2 linked regions of the Callithrix jacchus genome follow. The protein of the gene in region 1 interacts with the protein of each later gene in a pairwise test. Links are inferred from orthologs where the notes say so. Each region holds a gene or a part of one and is shown on either strand. Other genes may lie near its edges.

Evidence for each region.
Region 2: the proteins of MTFR1L (region 1) and ARMC1 interact in binary tests that used the Homo sapiens proteins (3 or more experiments, as listed by UniProt). The two-hybrid records come from large-scale screens. The link is inferred for Callithrix jacchus from reciprocal best matches to the Homo sapiens genes MTFR1L and ARMC1.

The regions. Positions count from the first base shown.
Region 1 is NC_133508.1:62,468,559-62,472,314, forward strand, and holds the end of MTFR1L (mitochondrial fission regulator 1-like), read left to right. Parts: coding exon 1-129; intron 130-2,501; coding exon 2,502-2,607; 3' UTR 2,608-3,513; downstream 3,514-3,756. UniProt on the Homo sapiens protein: Mitochondrial protein required for adaptation of miochondrial dynamics to metabolic changes. Regulates mitochondrial morphology at steady state and mediates AMPK-dependent stress-induced mitochondrial fragmentation via the control of OPA1 levels.
Region 2 is NC_133517.1:21,506,197-21,509,852, reverse strand, and holds part of ARMC1 (armadillo repeat-containing protein 1), read left to right. Parts: intron 1-2,430; 5' UTR 2,431-2,465; coding exon 2,466-2,648; intron 2,649-3,656.

The DNA of each region.
Region 1 (3,756 bases):
ACCAGAACACAAAGCTACCTGCAGTTCGTCTGAAGAGGATGACTGCATCTCTTTGTCCAAGGCCAGCAGCTTTGCAGACATGATGGGTATCCTGAAGGACTTTCACCGGATGAAACAGAGCCAAGATCTGTAAGTATCTGATGAGGAACTCTGGTGATCTATTTACTCTGAGTTACCCATGGCCAATGATCTAATGCAACATACTTAAATAGTAAGTTCTTAGTAGTACCGTATGTTATGTCATTCATAAAGCTTCCTGACTACCTGCTTGCTAGTGTCTTAGGCCCCAGTTTGAGGAAAGAGCAACACTTTACATTTATTGGGTTAGGTCACCCAAACCAAATATTTGGCTAGTAAGGATCTTACAAGAAGGCTCATCTAATCCAACTTCTGTTCTCGGTGGCTTTACCACTTCATTTCTTATACTGCTAGTGACAGTGTCTCCATGCCCCACCTTTCAAAGTGATGGGTTGCATGACATTATGTTTTGTTTTCTTATCTCAAATTAGTAGACTTTTTTGGTGGGAGGAGAATTTCATAAGTTGGAGATTTCTGCTTTAAAATACAGTGGTCCATTATGCAAGCAAATCCTGCAAATTCAATGATTTGAGAACAAGGCTTTTGAGACTCACCAGGAGTTCCTAAACCTGTCTGTGTATCAGAATTGCTTGGATTTGTTAAAAATACATCTTTAACTTACTAAAGTAGAACCCCAAGGAGTGGAGCTCTAGGTTTTTCCGATGGCGCATGAGGGACTTTGGGGAAAAGCTTCATCTGGCAGAGAAGCCTCAGGGAGTCATCCCATTGCATAGTGGGGTGCATACAATCCACAACTGAATTGTAGTTTCAACAGCTGCACAGGACCACCAGATACCAGAGGAACTTGGTTTGAATGTAAGCTCCTGAGCATTTGAGATTTAGACCTTGATAGCCAGCACCGAGCTTGTGCAGATGTATTTGACTTTTTTTTTTTTTTTTTGAGATGGAGTGCACTCTGTTGCCCAGCTGGAGTGCAGTGGCATGATTTCAGCTCACTGCAACCTCCACCTCCAGGGTTCAAGCAATTCTCCTATCTCAGCCTCCCGAGTAGCTGGGACTACACCACCATGCCTAATTTTTGTATTTTTACTAGAGATGAGGTTTCATCATGTTGGCCAGGCTGGTCTCAATCTTTTGACTTTGTGATATGCCCACTTCAGCCTCCCAAAGTGCTGGGATTACAGGTGTGAGCCACTGCACCCAGCCAGCTCTATTTGTTAATGCAGATGAAAAATTGTTTTAGGGACTGGAAGTGAGGTCTCCTGAGTTGATAAAGTTCCTGTTAAAGGGAAAGTTACTTGCCTTGGTTCCCTTTTTGTTTCCTAGGACGCATTTTCTTCTGAAAACTAGATCAGGCTAAATGACTTTCTCATTGCTTCCTGGCAGTTGACCCATTTGGGAAATCACCATTAACATTCCTTCACTGGCCCTAGTCAGGTTGGTCATACTCACCTGCTCTTTGGTCTTCTATATTCCCAAATTCAGTTGCTGCTGCTTTTGGTCTTTTCTGAGCTGTTTTCTTCTGAACACAATGCTTTATAGTTGTTGACTCTCAAAACTGTCTCTTATTTGCCTTTTGGACCAAATTAGATTCAAGACCTTTACTGCCAGCCCCCTCCTCCCACTTATGTCCTTGCATCAGGAGCTGGGTCAGTGAATAAGAATGGGAAAGTACCGAAATCAGCAAGGTTCAGAAATGTCACCAACCAAATGCAGTCTTGTTTTTGCTTTGAATGTTGAATAGTCAGTCTTGGCCTTTATATTTAGCTTAATCACCAATCAAACACCTTCATGAGGATACACGTATATAAGTTCACTAGGATTTCAAGCAACTATTTTCCAGGTATCTAGGACCCTGTTATATAATGTATCTGATAATTTGGACTTCAGTTTGGAGTTGGTTTTGTTCCCATGAGTTTCTTAAGTGAATGTTTTGCTCTAATTCTGGCTCTTATAAAAACATCATCTCCCCTGAAAGGGAGACAGGGTAGTAGGAAATCCCAAACACACCTTTTCTCCAGAACTATTAAGGGTCAGAATAGCCAAGAGTCATCAGTCACTTCCCTTGCTGACCTGGGGAAATGCTACTATGAAAACATAGGGCCAGAAGGCAGAAGCAGAAGCTTATTAGCCACCAGAGGCCAGCTCTTACAGATTGATGGTCCTTTACTTTACCCACACTTTATAGCTATTTCAGGAACTAGTAAAGCATTCTAGTTAAGAGAAGAGATCTGGAACCAGCTAGTTTGGTTTTGAACTCTGGATTCACCACTTACTTGCTGAGTGACTACTGACCTTGGGCAACTTGTATAACTTTCCTATGCTTCAATTTCTGTATCTGTGAAAGGGAATTGTAGTAGCACCTACCTCTTAAGATTGTGTGAGGATTCAATGAGATAATGTATTCAAAGATAGACAGCACTACCCAGGAAGAAGTACTCAAGCTGTTATTGTGCCTCTAGGAACCGGAGTTTATTGAAGGAGGAAGACCCTGCTGTGCTTATCTCTGAGGTCCTACGGAGGAAATTTGCTCTAAAGGAAGAAGATATCAGTAGAAAAGGAAACTGAACCCTCAGCTCTGCAAACTCAGTCTCATGCTCCTGGAATACCTTCAATAGCTGCCTTCCTCACTGCAGATTTTTCTGCCTCTCAAGGAGAAATTGTCAGCAATCTTGCTGACAAGCTAGAGCTTGGACTGAAAGAGAAGAACTGGATTGTATGTTTCCCAGACTTCAAACCCTAGCAGAAGCTAAGGCCTATGATTTGACCTGAGACATTTGTTACAGGTAATTGTGCAGAATGAAGTGTCTCAGTTTAAAGGGTAGGAGAGAAGTTGTTTCTGGTTTTTCCTTGCCCCTGTGTGAAAATAGGTCCTAAATGACTGATTTACTTCACTGCATTAGACCCTATAATTGGTCTCACAAGACACTGTGCCCAGCTGTCACTCACTCTCAGCAGCTTCCTTGCAGCAGAGCAGGGCTGAGGGTAAGGGGCTCTGTTTGTATACATTTCACAGGGCACGGAAAATCTTATGCTGCTCCATCATAAACCTACACCAATGCCCAGCAATCACCCTCCTCACTTCCTTGTCTAGATGTAGAGGTCAGGCTGCTGAACCAGCTGATACATGGTCTATTGCTGGGAAGCCTGGGCTGTTTTTTTCCTTAAAGATATTTTATATTACTGAACAACCAAGTCTACCCTCCAGGGCCCTGAGGCCTTATCAGTTCCACCGATTAAAAGCGTTCTTTTCCACTGACTTTAAGCCCAGTAGGAAAGAGAAAGGAGGGGGAACGAGCATACCATTGTCTTTCTTCGAGGCCCTTGACTGCTCCTTTGGGTTGAGCCAAGGTTTGTACCTACCACGCCATGCATGACTCAGATGCCCTCAGGTCCCTTTCTCTATGGTATGTATACTTTGTGTGTTTGGGTTGAAGTACTACCTGACATTAAAGGAAGGATTTGGAGAGAGAATGCATTTCTTGTGTCCATCTTTTGAGTTGTGGTTACCCAGTATCCTCCAGGGATATAGGATTATTGTTAATTTTAAGGTGTATGAAGTTAAACAGGCTACTGGCTTCTTCTCTTTCCTGCCCTTCTAGGGGGTTTCTTCCCCCTTTCTGTAGAGATTTTGCCCTACACTCTTTTTTTTAGAAACTGGATCTAGCTCTGTCATGCTTAGGCCAGAGTGTAGTGGTGAGATCATTAGCTAACTGC
Region 2 (3,656 bases), on another chromosome or scaffold:
ATGGGAGTGCAGACATCTATTAGACAAATTGATTTCAAATATTTTGGGCAAATACCCAGAAGTGGGATTGCTGGATTGTGTATCCGGTTCTTTAGCTGTGACTTGCCTCTTGGGTCTTTGAGCCAGTGATTGGTTCTGCAGGTTCCATTTTGGATAGAATTTGTGCTAGTGACAGCATTTAAAGCTTATGGGTGGCTGGGCACCATGGCTTACGCCTGTAATCCCAGCACTTTGGGAGGCCAGGGCAGGTGAATCACCTGAGGTTAGGAGTTCAAGACCAGCCTGGCCAACATGGTGAAACCCTGTCCGTACTAAAAATACAAAAATTAACCAAGGCGTGGTGGTGTGTACCTGTAATCTTCCCAAAATGCTGGGATTATAGTTGTGAGCCACCACGCCCGGGGTGATATACTGACTTTAAAATGAAAGTATGGAAATTGGAAAAACTGCTGATGAGTTTAGGAAATAAGTAAGATTTTAGGTCAGTTCTGTGCTAACTAGTTTTGTGATGTGGGACAAATTATTGAATTTCTCTGTGACTGTCTCCTTATCTGGCAAATGAATTATGTCAAATTCTATTTTTTTCTTTCTATTCTTTTTTCCTTTTCTTTTCTTTTTTTTTTTTTTTTTTTTGAGATGGAGTTTTGCTCTTGTCATCCAGGCTGAAATGCAATGGCATGATCTTGGCTTACTGCAACCTTCTCCGGGGTTCAAGCGATTCTCCTGCCTCATCCTCCTGAGTAGCTGGGATTAGAGGTGCCTGCTACCATGCCTAATTTTTATTTCTTTTTCTTTTTTTTAAAGATGGGGTTTCACCATGTTGGTCAGGCTGGTCTTGAACTCCCGACCTCAGGTGATCTGCCCGCCTTGGCCTCCAAAGTGCTTGGATTATAGGCGTGGGCCACTGTGCCCGGCCACCTGACTAATTTTTTTGTATTTTTAATAGAGATGGGGTTTCACCATATTGGCCAGGCTGTTTTTTTTTTTTTTGTTTTAAGTGATACATAGTTTCAACTCTGTTACCTAGGCTGGAGTGCAGTGGCTGATCTTGGTTCACTGCAACTTCCTACTCCTGGGTTCAAGCAGTTCTCCTGCCTCCCAAATAGGTGGGATTATAGGCATGTGCCACCACGCCCAGTTAATTTTTCTGTTTTTAGTGGAGATGGGGTTTCACCATGTTAGTCAGGTGAAACCTGACTTAAACTCCTGACCTCAGGTGATTCACCCGCCTCGACCTCCCAAAGTGCTGGGATTATAGGCATGAGCCATCACACCCGGCCTTATACTTTTGGTTTAAAATCAGTGTATCAGCCGGGCGCAGGTGGATCATTTGAGATCAGGAGTTTGAGACCAGCCTGGCCAACATGGTGAAAACCTGTCTCTCCTAAAGTGACAAAACAATTAGCTGGGTATGGTGTCACGTGCCTGTAATCCCAGGTACTAAAGATATAAAAAATCAGCTGGGCCTGGTGTCATGTGCCTGTAATCCCAGGTACTTGGGAGAATGAGGCAAGAGAATCACTTGAACCCAGAGGCGGAGGTTGCAGTGAGCTGAGATAGCGCTATTACACTCCAGCCTGGGTGACCAGAGTGAGTCTCTATATTGGAGGAAAAAGAAAACTGGAGAAACAAAAGTATGGAAAGTGGAAAGCTAATGAGTTTAAGAAATAGTAAATAAGATTTTAGGCCAGTTCTGTGCTAACTAGCTTTTGTGATGGGGGGCAAATTATTGAACTTCTCTAAGACTGTGTCCTTATCTGGCAAATGAATTACATCAAATTCTATTTCATTCTTCCTGTTCTTGCTTTTCTGTTAGGTGGTAGAATGTGGCATACTCAGATGGACAGAATGTGTTTAAATTCAGTCTGGATTCACTATGATCTTTCAGACTCGACTGGCCTGGGCTGCAGGCTAAATACCTTTCCTGGCTTCTTGATTTACAGACTTCTACTCCCTTTTTCCTAGGGCATTTTATTCTTTATAGACAGAGTATGCTAGGTTTTTGTTCACTGATGAATAGCAAAGCTGTAAGCTGGCCACTTTTCCCTCAGGCACTTGTTTAAGCCTAGAAATAGTCTAGAGAAAAAAAAAAAAAACACTGGCAATGTTAGTTTGAGAAGTATAGCGAAGGTTACAAGCTTGAGCTGTAAAGATCTCTTGTGACTGAATTGTTAAAATATATATATGCTAAAAGGTAATTTATTGGAATATTGATGATGATATCCTTTAAACATTGTGCACACAAGTTTTTTCAGTCATCTTATGTTCATTTTACCGTTCTTAAACTGTAGAGTTGCCAATTTTTAAGTTTTTGTGGGATTTAGTTTTCATTACCTATTTCATTCTAAACATGTTATAATACTGGTTATTTCACAAATGCCATAATATACCTCAGCAGCCTAGAACTAATTCTGCAAACCTTTTCTACAGAATTTAAGATTTTATTCATGTGCATGGCATAGAAGATGAATTCTTCCACCTCCACCATGAGTGAAGAGCCTGATGCTCTGTCGGTGGTTAACCAGTTACGGGATCTAGCAGCAGATCCATTAAACAGAAGAGCCATCGTCCAGGATCAAGGATGTCTGCCTGGCCTTATTTTATTTATGGACCATCCCAACCCTCCAGTCGTCCACTCAGCTTTACTCGTAAGTTGCCTTTAGTAATTTCAGTCTCTGTTTTATCTTTGCAATTAAGGAGACAATTTGGAAAAAGTGTTAGATGACATGGTAAAAAACTGAGAGACCAGTTAATTGTATTTATATGTGTAGAAACATATATGTCTGGTCTGTTTACACAAATGGTAACATGCTACATTGTTTCTATCCTTTTATTTATTTATTTCTGAGACAGAGTCTCCTCTGTGGTCTAGGCTGGAGTACAGTATGGCAGGAACTTAGTTCACTGCAATCTCCACCTCCTGGGCCCAAACCATCCTCCTTGACCTCAGCCTCCTGAGTAGCTGGGATGATAGGCACACTCCCATCATGCCAGGCAAGTTTTTGATATTTTGTAGAGATGAGGTTTCCCCATGTTGGCCGGACTGGTCTCAAACTCCTGAGCTCAAGTGATCCTCCCACCTCAGCCTCCCAGCGTGTTGGGATTACAGCTGCGAGTCACCATGGCTGTTCCTGTTTTTATTCTTTAACATGAATGGTATCATACTACATGCTTGGAATGTTCTACCACTTTCCTTTTCATTTAACACTCTTGAGGATTGGATCATATTATACACATAGACACTCAAAGACGCACTTATTTTGTTTTTATTTTATAATAGCTGTTTAAGATGTAAGCACACAGCATCATCCAATTCACTCATTTAAAGTATACAATTAAGTGGTTTTAGTATATTCATAGAGTTGAGCCACCATCACTACAACTTTTTATTTTTTATAGCTAATTTTTTTTTTTTTTTTTTAGTAGAGATAGGATGTAGCTCTGTTGCCCAGGCTGGTCTCAAACTCCTGACCTCAACCGATTCTCCTACCTCAGCCTCTCAAAGTGCTTAGATTACAGATGTGAGCCACTGTGCCCGACACACCACAACTTTTTACCTATTGCTCTCCAGACCCCCACACTCCCCATCCCTAGGCAACTATTAATCTACATTTTGTTTGTCTATATTTGCCTATTCTGGCAAAAATACCTATATA